Canis lupus familiaris: one gene and its partners. The protein of the gene in region 3 purifies or fractionates together with the protein of the main gene of each other region. This does not show direct contact. Links are inferred from orthologs where the notes say so. Each region holds a gene or a part of one and is shown on either strand. Other genes may lie near its edges. The genes, in order: NIPSNAP2, LLGL1 and PRKCZ.

The links.
Region 1: the proteins of PRKCZ (region 3) and NIPSNAP2 purify together in Homo sapiens (affinity purification with mass spectrometry; 3 studies listed by BioGRID and IntAct, counting the BioPlex papers as one, with this or other methods). This does not show direct contact. The link is inferred for Canis lupus familiaris from reciprocal best matches to the Homo sapiens genes PRKCZ and NIPSNAP2.
Region 2: the proteins of PRKCZ (region 3) and LLGL1 purify together in Homo sapiens (affinity purification with mass spectrometry; 6 studies listed by BioGRID and IntAct, counting the BioPlex papers as one, with this or other methods). This does not show direct contact. The link is inferred for Canis lupus familiaris from reciprocal best matches to the Homo sapiens genes PRKCZ and LLGL1.

The regions. Positions count from the first base shown.
Region 1 is NC_049227.1:362,680-366,775, reverse strand, and holds the start of NIPSNAP2 (protein NipSnap homolog 2), read right to left. Parts: upstream 2,858-4,096; 5' UTR 2,794-2,857; coding exon 2,702-2,793; intron 2,364-2,701; exon of another isoform or gene 2,239-2,363; coding exon of another isoform or gene 2,231-2,238; intron 1-2,230. UniProt on the Homo sapiens protein: Protein involved in mitophagy by facilitating recruitment of the autophagy machinery required for clearance of damaged mitochondria.
Region 2 is NC_049226.1:41,539,815-41,543,457, forward strand, and holds part of LLGL1 (lethal(2) giant larvae protein homolog 1), read right to left. Parts: intron 3,206-3,643; coding exon 3,108-3,205; intron 989-3,107; coding exon 907-988; intron 815-906; coding exon 684-814; intron 1-683. UniProt on the Homo sapiens protein: Cortical cytoskeleton protein found in a complex involved in maintaining cell polarity and epithelial integrity. Involved in the regulation of mitotic spindle orientation, proliferation, differentiation and tissue organization of neuroepithelial cells.
Region 3 is NC_049226.1:57,564,773-57,568,415, reverse strand, and holds part of PRKCZ (protein kinase C zeta type), read right to left. Parts: intron 2,978-3,643; coding exon 2,925-2,977; intron 2,515-2,924; exon of another isoform or gene 2,463-2,514; coding exon of another isoform or gene 2,370-2,462; intron 342-2,369; coding exon 153-341; intron 1-152. UniProt on the Homo sapiens protein: Calcium- and diacylglycerol-independent serine/threonine-protein kinase that functions in phosphatidylinositol 3-kinase (PI3K) pathway and mitogen-activated protein (MAP) kinase cascade, and is involved in NF-kappa-B activation, mitogenic signaling, cell proliferation, cell polarity, inflammatory response and maintenance of long-term potentiation (LTP).

The DNA of each region.
Region 1 (4,096 bases), on a different chromosome or scaffold from region 3:
ATGCTGGTCTTTATTTTTTTTTTTTAAGATTTTATTTATTATTTATGATAGTCACACGGAGAGGGGGAGAGGGGGAGAGAGAGAGAGAGAGAGAGAGAGGCAGAGATACAGGCAGAGGGAGAAGCAGGCTCCATGCACCGGGAGCCCGACGTGGGATTCGATCCCGGGTCTCCAGGATCGCGCCCTGGGCCAAAGGCAGGCGCCAAACCGCTGCGCCACCCAGGGATCCCTCTCAGCCCTTTCTCTATCCACACTCTTCAAGCAATCTCATCCATTCCTATGAATAATGTTTTGTTAAGAAGATTTTCAATTAAATGCAAAACAGTATAACAAAACCTACATATCTATCAACATTTAGCATTCCTATATACTGACAACTCCCAAATGTAACCTGTAGTCCAGACATCTCCTTTGAAGAGTCAAAAAGATCAAATAGGCCAAATACCTTTCCATTTGAATAGCTCACAGCCATCTCCAACTTTACCAGGTTCAGAAGTGCTCTGGATTCCCCCTTCCTGTTCTTCCTTCTCTGAATTAGGAGCAAGCTCCCAGATGGCAACAACTTTATTCACTGATATTTCCCAACAGCACCTGGCACATTATGGGCACTCATATGCCTATAGAACAAGGGACTTTCAGGAAATGGCACCAGCATCTGCCCAGTTGGCCACGACCCTTGATTCTGTCTGCTTTCCAAATCAGACTGGTATGTTAAAAACACAGGCCAGATCCTGTCACACTAGAATTTATATCTTTAAATGTCTTCCATGGCTTTCAGTATAAATTCCAAACTCTCTAAAATGGCTTGCAAGGCCTGGAATTATGGGGCTACTGCTCCCTGCCACCTGTCTTCTAGCCTCTCTTCCCTTTACTATGCTCCCCTTCCTAGGCTTTTCTGGAGCTTGCTGGTATGCCTCACTCCTTCCCAGTCAGGGCTTTCCTGCACACTGACCCTTCAGGTTTCAGCTCAACGGCACCTTCTTGGAGAGGCCTTCCATGATTTCATGTGGTAGGTTCCCTGAGGTTCTCTCACACCACCTACCTCAATCTTTAAGTCTGTATGGGTTTTTACCTCTGCCATATGGCTTGCTGGGCATAGTGACCCATAGTGACTATTATGCTGAGTTCCACAAAACTTCAAAAACATATACATTCATATACATTCAGTATTTGTAGAAGCAGTGAATTAATTGGGTCTAGACTGAGTCCTAAAGAACATCTACAGTTAAGGCAGTCAAAAGATACAAGGGGCCTGAGAGAGTAATCCAAGAGCTGACATGTTGGGCTTCAGTTTCAAGAGCATTTGGCCCCACAAGAAGTGGGGGTACTGGGCAGACCCAGGTCCAAATCTCCAGTTTACTAGTTTTGTGACTATGGGATCTATAGGTGAATATGCTGGGTCTTTTTGGAAAAAAGAAAATATGAATTTCATAGTTTCTTATCACCTGTGTGAAAAAAAATAAGACACACAGCAGATGCTCAGTAACAGAATGAAAATAAAAGGTTGATTTGTTCATCAACTTGGAAACATAAACATCAAATTTGGAAACACAAGGGGGATCCCTGGGTGGCTCCGCGGTTTGGCGCCTGCCTTTGGCCCAGGGCGCGATCCTGGAGACCCGGGATCGAGTCCCGCATCAGGCTCCTGGCATGGAGCCTGCTTCTCCCTCCTCCTGTGTCTCTGCCTGCCTCTCTCTCTCTGTGTCTATCATAAATAAATAAATCTTTAAAAAAAAAGTTGGAAACTCAAGCTGGACATCAGTCCTAGGAAGGGTGCCAGGCCTGAAGCCTGATAAACTTGAGTTCAAATGCCTTTTCCAGCTAGAGGTCTCACCTCCATGGAGATTACGTCTCATCTATAAAATGCAGATCCTGTTACTTAAGATTGGTACTAGGATTAAATTAAATAAACTCTCTGGCCCATAATAAGAGTTTAAAGAACAGGCAGTCCCTTTACTCTTTCGTTAAGCAGCAACTGAATTTAGTTCTAGAGGCTCGTTATTAAACCACAGATAACGTTTAAATGATAAATGTAAAGAAAGCAAGAAAGCAAATCTATGTAAGTCAGTAGGAGCTTGGTTTTTGATGGAAAACAGGACATGGATGTGTCAGAGGGATGAATTCAGGAGAGCCGAATATTTAATCCACAGAGGCTAGAAAAAGTTTAAAGTTGAACCCAAGGCCTACTTGGGGCTGATGCCTTGTAAAACCTTTCTGATCCGTCACCTACTTCTCCATCCCACTCCGGCGGCCGGCAGCGTCGAGCCCACCCCGCGACGGCCCCGCGCTCCCGGGGCTCACCGGCAGGCGCTCTTCTTCCCCCTGGAGCTCGTGCTGTCCGCAGCGCCCTCGCAGAGCGGACCCCAGGCCCTGCGCACAGCCCGCCCTGGGCGCCCGCGGGCAGCCGGATGCCGAGTCCAGGGCCTGGGGTCGCGCCGGGTCAAGGTCCCCCAGGCCAGGCCCACACGGCGCGCGGACGTGGCCTGGGCACCGGGCGCCGTCCCCGCCGTGACCTTGAGCACGACGGCCGGGACCGCGCTCTGACTGTGCCGAGGCCCTCAGCCGCCCCGCCCGCCCGGCCCGGCCCGGCCCCCGCTGCCCCGGCGGGCCTGCTCGAGGGAGCGCTAGCGGGCCGTGGACCCGCGCCCTCCGCCCTGGCGGCCACTCCCCGGCCGGTCCCGGGAGGGGCAGCGCTGCTCACCGGAGCGCAGGCTGCAGGCTGCAGGGAGCGGCCCGCCGCAGGACGCCGCCGGCCCAGGCCGCTCCGCAGGCCTGCACGACTCGCGCCGCCATCTTGCTCTGGCGCCTGGGCTCCCGCCGCGCGGGCCGCCGCTGACGCCGCCGACGCCGCCGCCGCCCCACGGCCACCACCGCGACCCCTCCCCCGGCCGGCCCGCCGAGGCGGGGGTGGGGCGGAGGGCGGGGCCCGCCGAGCGGGGCGGGGCGGGGCGGGGCCGCCGGGGTGAGGGCGGGGCCGCCAGGGGCAACTGACGGCGAAGCAGGAGAGGACATCGCCCCCTGCGGAAGAAGCTGGGTGTCGTGACCCGCCTGCGCAGGAGAAATATGAGCAGACGTTACTGTACAGTACCGGCCCGGCTCAGCGGTTTAGCGTGGCCTTCGGCCCAGGGCCTGATCCTGGGTCCTGGGATCGAGTCCCACGTCAGGCTCCCGGCATGGAGCCAGCTTCTCCCTCTGCCTGTGTCTCTGCCTGTGTCTCTCATGAATAAATAAATAAGATCTTAAAACAAACAAACAAAAAAAACAAAAAAAAAAACGTTCTGGATTGTTTGTTGCTTGGGTGCTGAGTTTGATAAGTCCAGTTATGAAATGAGCAGAAGATATGAACAAAAATTTCTCTAAAGACATACACATGGCCAACAAGCACATGAGAAAATGCTCCGCATTGCTTTTTATTAGGGAAATACAAATCGAAACCACAATGAGATACCACCTCACACCAGTGAGAATGACGAAAATAACAAGACAGGAAACAACAAATGTTGGAGAGGATGTGGAGAAGGGGAATCTTCTTGCACTGTAGGTGGGAATGTGAACTGGTGCAGCCACTCTGGAAAACTGTGTGGAGGTTCCTCAGAGTTAAAAATAGTTACCCTACACCCAGCAATTGCACTGCTGGGAATTTACCCCAAAGATACGGATGTAGTGAAACCCAGGACACCTGCACCCAATGTTCATAGCAGCAACGTCCACAACAGCCAAACCGTGTAAGGAGCTTGATGTCCTTCGACAGATGAATGGATAAAGAAGATATGCTATATGTATACAATGGAATATTACTCAGACATCAGAAAGGATGAATACCTACCATTTGATTCGACGTGGATGGAACTGGAGGGTATTATGCTGAGTGAAGTAAGTCAATCGAAGAAGGACAAACATCATATGGTTTCACTTATATGGGGAATATAAGAAATAGTGAAAGGGATTATAAGGGAAAGGAGGGGAACTGAGTGCGAAAAATCAGAGAGGGAGACAAACCATGAGAGACTCCTAACTCTGGGAAACAAAGGGTTGCAGAAGGGGAGGTGGATGGGAATAATGGGATAACTGTGTCGCAGGCACTAAGGAGGGCACT
Region 2 (3,643 bases), about 16 Mb from region 3:
CTCCCGAGTCCCACCCAGGAACCCCAGTCACCAGCCCACGGAGGACCCCCTGACTTTGCAGGAGGGCTCAACTGACCCTGAATGCAGATGCTGGAAGAGCAGCCCTGGAGCAGGAGTGGGCGCAGCACCCCTGGCTGAGTCTCCCCCCAACCGTGAGAGCTGAATGTGGGGGGGGGTATCACCCAGCCCCCAGCAGGGGCAGGACAAGCCTCCCACTGAGGCCGTATAGAAATCCGGAAGCTACTCTGACCGCTTTGGCAAGGGCCAGCAGGGCCAGGGACATGCCCATCGGGGGGCCAGGCCCACTCCACTCCCCTACAGTGTCCTGCTGGCACCTTCACAGCCTGATGGGACCCTCCTTGCCCCCAAACCTGCCCATCCAGCTACACACACTATGGCCTGTTGCCCCAGCCCCAACCGTTAAAAGGCCCCAGTGGTCGCCGGAGCATGGACACTACGTGCTCACCTCAGACTCAGCCAGAGTCCCCTATTTAACACCCGCCACGTCCATGTGGCACATCTCTCCAAGATCGGGCCCAGCTCGATGTACTCTTCACCCTGAACTCTAGCACAGGGGCAGCTTTGTGTGCCCACAGTGCTTCTGCAAGGCTGGCTCCAACCACGTCCAGCAGGCTCCACACCCCCATGCCCGGCAGCAGGTCCCCAGTCAAGTCCTCCAGTACCTGGCACTGTCAAAGCCCGGCCGACTAGGTGGCTGGAAGCTGAGCGCTTCCTCCAGGTGGGCGCAGCCATGGTGGTGGACAATCTCCCAGAGGTGAAGGCTGCTATCATCCAACAGAGTTAGCAGGCGGCCCTGGGGGATGAGCAGAGACCGAGCCTGGGCTGGGCTGGGCTGGGGTGGGGAGGGTGTGGGGGCTGTGGGAGTGGGCAAGGGTAGAGGCTCACCTGGCCGGGTAGGAAGTGCATCTGGGTGACGGTGGCTGTGTCCCGGTGTAGGCCAGTGAACTCCACACCAGGTGCACCATAGCTGCATGCACAGGTCAAGGACAGAGGCAGACACCGGAGATCCTCCTTCCCAAGAGCCATTCCAACAGGTCCCAGCCAGCCCAGCCTTCTGAGGTCCAGATGGGACCCCTCCTCCAGAAAGCACTGCCTTGTACCCACAAGATATCCCCAGGCTCTGAGCGCAGGCTTTGCTCTGCTCCTGCAAGTTGGTGCTGCTGTGTGACCTTCACTTCCTCATCTGTAGGATGGGCTGGTGAGCCCCACTCTCACCTTGTAGGACTGATGCAGGGCAAGTGAGAATAAAAACAGCTAGCACACTTGGCCCAGGCCTGGCACATGGTCAGCGTCCCGCTCTGTGTCAGCCTAGTGTGTGCTCCCACGTGCATAAGAGCTAGGCCCCACAGGTTGGGAGCACACAGGCAGAGGGGCCAGGCCAGGCCTGGGCACAGAAGCCTGGGGCAGAGGAGAGAGTCCAGGCTGCCTCTTCCCACAGCTCCAGGTCAACCTCCAGTTATGGACAAGGAAACCAACCTCCCTCCAGGGCAGGCAGCCAGTGGCCCCCACTGTGACCGGGGAGAGGCTTCGGCCTGCCCATTTCACAGACAATACACAGAGGCTTGGAAAGGGGTGAGCTGTCTCAAGTGCCAGGTGCCAGCACCAGAGTCACAGTAGCTCCAGGTTGGACAGTGGTCAGGCAGGGGGCCTTGGGAGGGAGGGCTGAGAGGGGTCAGCGTTGCCCGGCAACAACACAGGAGCCCTTGCTTCCAGCCAGAGTTGGGATTCCCTGCAGGAGCCAGGAGAACACAGAAGAGGGGACAAAAGAGAGGGCAGGAGCTGCTGGGCGGGAACCAAGGTTGCCAAGGAGACGGGCTGCCCCTGAGGGGGAGGGGTGGCTTCTGGGGCCAGCCTCAGTTTCCCAACCCAAGGCTCCAGGCTAGGGTAGTTTGGGGGAAGAAACGAGGGGAGAGAGGAGAGCCCCAGCCTCCTCCTCTGAGGCTGTCTCCTGGTCAGTACATCAGGTTCTTTGTGAGCACAAGGAGCACGGAGGGATGGCTCCAGTGACTAACGGAGTTGCAGGGCGCAGGGCACTGAGCAGCCACTGACAGGGAGAAAGGGGCTTCAGGAACACGATATACACGAGTGAGCAGGACTGCAGCGTGGGGGCGGGCAGAGGCCAGGCAATGCACGGCCCCCAGGGCCAGTGGGGGCTCAGGGGCGGGGGTCCAGGCCCTGTCCCTCCCCACCCCACTCCCTGCTCCGCTGGGGCCTCAGGGGCCCGTGGGAGTGGAGGGGCATCCCTGTCCAGCCACACTCCCCAGAGAAGGCAAACTCAAACCACAGGCCCAGGCACCCACCCCTGTCGGGCCACCTTGCCCTGGAGAGGGAAGACCCCAGGCACTGACTCATTTTGCTGCCAACCAGTGTCCCTGGCGAGGGTACTGAGAGCCAGAGAAGTGAGGGAGAGCACCCCTCACCCAGCAGCCCCCAGCCAGGCCCTCCACCTGGGTTTTCCCACCCAAGGGGCTTCATGGAGAGCAGCAGGGGTGGGGTTCTCCACTGCAGGCAGGGAGGCATTCAGCTGCCTGCTTGCCCCTCCAGCACCCCCCCCCCCACCCTGTGCCTGCAGGAAAATGCCCGCTTTGTGTGGCTCACACGGCCCATTGTGCAGCCGCCAGCACCCAGGTGGGGGCCGCGCAGCGCTCACCATGCTGAGCCTGGCACGGCCCCCAGCCTCTCGGCTCAACACATGTGTCTTCACACTTGCACACACGAGTGTCTGGTCACTGGAGCCAGGCCCACTGTGAGACCCTGGCCCACCAGCCACCCTTGCGGGGGTACAGTGTATGACCAGTGTCCTGGCCCAGCATCCCCAGTCAGTTGCTGGGACGATGGCAGGGTTGCCTAGGTAACTGGCTAGCTGAAATGCAGCTAGGGACAGCTGTGACCACCGCCAGCTGACCCCTCCCCCACAAACACTTCTGTAAGGAAGAGACTCAGGGCAGAGGCCACACCAACCTCCACCAGAACCCCTGCGCCAACTGCAGCCTCCAGGGCCGGGCCGGGCCCAAAGAGCCTGTACACAGGGGGCTGCAAGCAGGAGGTCCTGATGGGCCCTGAAGGCCATGGTTCGAAAAGGATACATCTTGACGGCCCCGGACCTTGTGCCGATGGCCATGATGCGAAGCTCTGAGTCGAAGGCCAGGGCGCTGGGCTGGTTGGGGAAGCCATGCTCCACAGTCTGCAGGGGGCGGGAGGGCATTGGCACAGGCACTGCCCCCCTCCCCCGCCCACCTGAGGCCCACCCCAAGGCAGCCTCCACACTAGCAGAGCTGCACAATAGACCCGTGCCTCAGTGTTCTCAGCTCTAAAACAGGCGATCACACCTCCAATCCACATGGCAGAGGCCTGCCCCCGGCCAAGGCTTTGTCCTTCACACCTGTGTCCGGCCCGCTGTGTGCAGGGCTCTGGCAACAGAGAGAAGCAGGACCCACAAGGTACCAGCAGAGTCAGCCCTACCCATCCCATGGAGTAGGCGTCTGCACCCTGCTCCGGGAGGAGAGGTGCCATGCCCTCTGAGGCCCACCAGCCCCACATGGAGATGGGAGGGCAGCACCTGGATCAGCTAGGTCAAGGCTCTTGACCCTCTCCCTCCCCCAGGGCCCCTCCTCCTGGTAGG
Region 3 (3,643 bases):
AATGAGATACCAAAGGCCACATGGACGTGAAGTTTAATATGGTTAAAATGATGAGTTTTGTTACGTGCATTTTACTTCTATTGGAAGAAAGAAGCACTGGAAGCCAGGATGAAGACCCCAGAGAGGAAGCTCGAGCCGGCGCCTGCACTCACCTCATCATCGTGCACCAGCTCCTTCTTTACCACCTTCATGGCATACATCTGGTCGTTCTTCTTCAGTCGGACCAGGAGGACTTTGGCGTAGCTCCCACGCCCAATGACCCTGATCAGGTCAAAATCCTGCAGCCCGAGCCCCTGAGATATTTTGATTCCATCCATCCCATCGATAACTGGCTTGAGGTCCTGAGGACAGGAGAGAAAGTGCAAAATAACAAGACTCCTCCCAGGCGAGGCTGATGTCCCCGAGTGGGCCCTGGAGCTCAGAGTGCAGTTCTGCTCACGGCCCTGACCCCACAGCCACCCCACACCCACCATTCTCAGACCCTGGCCACTCCATGAGCAGGTGGGTGCCCAGGGCCAACCTCCCATCCACCCAGGGCTCTCCTGGGGGCTATGGAGTTTAGATAGCTGATGTCTGCAAAGCCTGGCCATGCCCTGAGCAAGGGCTACTGGAAACACAAAATGAAAGAGAAAGATGATCCAATTAGGAAAAGGAGCTTCCCTCCTATGGATTATTTCCAGTAAGGCTATTTCTCGTGTGGGCAGGAGGTAACTAAGTGCTGACATGTCCCAGACACAGAATGGCCAGGTAGAAAAGCCAGGGGACATTTGTCAGTTACTCTGGGAAAGCTTTGGCCCTTGCAAGGTAGGGCTGTTCTGAAGTTCTGGACAGAGGCTGCAAACTCCAGCTGGTGGGACTTCCTCACTCAAGAGAACAATCTCATATGCCTCACTTGTCACCCAGAGCTGGCCACACATTCAAGGCCAAACTGAACCTCTTGGTCCAAATCTGGGGAAGAAGACAAACAGGCAGCAGAGGGCTTTCCCAGAACAGAAGGAGCAAATCACGATCCCAGGGTTTATGCTTAACGAGACAACTTTGGAGAAGCTCCAGGCCACCTAAAGACGGGGATAGGTTCTCAGGGGTTGCCAGGGGGACCAACTGCAGGGTGAGAAGCTTGGAACTCAGTCTCACCCGCTGACCTCCAGGGATGCGAGAGGGGCTGGGGATTGAGCCCATTCTCTACCATCCAATGACTAAACCAATCATGCTCCTATTATGAAGTCTCCTAACAAATCCCCAAGGACAGTATCTGGAGAGCTTCAGGTGGGTGAACGTGTGGAGGTAAGCCTGGACAGGGTACAGCAGCTCTGTCCCCTTTCCCATCCCTGGCCCTGTGCAGCTCTTCCTTTGGGTTCTTTCTGAGCTACATCCTTTTATCATAAACCAGAAATCTATTAAGCAAGATGTTTCTCTGAGTTCTGTGAGTTGCTCAAGCAAACTAAAAGAACCCACTGAAAGGGTCATGTGAACCTGATTTACAGCTGGTTGGTCAGAAGCACAGGTGACCACTTGGCCTGCAAGTGGCACCTGAAGGGGGGCAGTCTCATGGGCCTGAGCCCTTGAGAGGCTCCTGTGGGAGCAATGCCAGCTCCAGGTAGTTGGCGTCAGGACTGACTGGAATTGCAGGGCACCTGACCAGTGTTCCCCAAGCACTGGAGAATTGCTTAGTGATGTGGAAAAAGCACAAAAGACAAATAAAGGAAGGGTTTTATGCAAATAAAATTTCACAAAAATTGCAGCTCAAGAGTCAGCTCTGGACCCACTCCACCATCTGGGCAGAGGGGGTGCTGGGGAAACCAAACCCACAGCAGATATGGTGCCACAGCCGGGCCCCAGAGAGCAGCCTCTGGAAGATTCATAGAGGATGTGCCCCAAGCAAGACTGAGCTACGACAAGGCAGCAGCCCATCCTTCTGCAGCCAGGTCCTGGGCTGCACATACCCCTCTCCTCTTTGCCCCCAACAGACCAAGCTCTCCATACTGCACACCCCATCCACCAAAGCTAGAGGGCCCTGTGGCCCGGGTGGGCAGTGACCGCGGGAGCAGCATCCTGTTGCTTCATGAGGTACCAACTTCCCAGGGATGGGACACTCCTCCTGTGACAGGATACAAAAAGTAGTTGGAGAAAATGGAGGCATTTGAGCCTTGGGAGTGAGTGGAGAATCAAGTTACTAGCAAATCTGGTGAGCATCCACCAATATACCTCTGACCCTGGCCCACCTGGCCATAAACCTGCCCGACTCAGGACAAAGGCCAGACTATGACAGGTGATCCCTCCACACGGAGCCCTGCAGACGCTTGCAGCCAAGCAAGAGATTAAGACAATAAAAAGCAAGTGACCCACTCCCCAGGGAGCAGCCTCATTACCTGTTCTCGAAGCACATAAGCGGGGCTCTCCTTGCAGCCCCCTGGGGAGCCCAGGCCACCCTGTGCTGATGTGGGAAGAGCCACACCGACCATGGGTGTTGCGGAGGGCTCCCTATGTGCCAGGTGTGGCTGGGCATGCACACAAACACTCTCTGTACACTCACAGAAAGGTGTGGTCATTATCCAACTTGACAAAAGCAGATTCTGAGGTCAGTGAGTCCCCTGCCCCAGGACACTGCATCTTCCAATTGTACAGAGCCAGGAACAGTACAACGGACATTGTGTCCTCACACCTAAGATGCAGCAACAGCTCAGGTCTGCCACACCTAATAGCTTGGAGAGTCCTTCTGCATTAAATATTGGAGACTCCGTGCCACTCGGCCCTGAAGTCTTGGCCGGTGCCACCTGAGGTCCACAGACCACACCCTCACCTGCAGTGAGTGACAACTCTCAAACCTGCCTTGTTTATACTGAAATTTCCATAATTTCCTCAAAAATGAGCTAACAAACTTCTAAAAAAAAATTGGAAACTAATGAGCCATTTCATAGACTCACCTCAGAATCATCTTTAATGTTGTCGTGTTTCCGGGTTGAAGAAATGTAAGCAACTAGTGAGGAGAGAAAGAAAGTGGACATTGCAGGCATTGTCAGGACTGCAGCCTGAGACACAGGGATCCTGAGGCCCCTCACTGGTCACAGACACCAGCAGCCCAGCTAGGCCAGCCGCGCTCAGGCTGGACCACGGGCAGCCACACCTCACCCAGAGGCCTCAGGAAACGTGCTTCTTGGTCCCACCCACATCTGACTGTACACCTCTGGGGCAGAGCTTGGGAACCTGTGATTGTGACGGGTTTTCCTCAGTGATTCACCTGGAAGTAATTATTCACCAGATTTCAGTGTCTAGCCTTCCAGATGTTGTTCTCAGTGTGTGCAGGTGGGTGGGAGAGGGGATGGATGGAAGGATGGATGCATGGGTGGATGGATGAGTGGATACGTGGGTGGCTTGTTGTTTCTTAGGAGCCTCCTTTGTGTGAGGTACTGTGCTAAGTGATTTATGTTCTGCGGTCTCATTTCATCCTTCAAGGGCTCTCAGGGCACACAGGTCACACTGACCATGTGAGGGCTCAGGCTCTGAATAGTGCACACGCTTTGGGAGCTCAGAGTGGGGCTATTGGTCCAACTAGTATTCAGAATCTTTCTCCAAATGCTTCTGAGCGTTAAAAAAAAAAGTCTCTTCCTCACCAAAAAAATCTCACAGAAACTGAAGAAACAAT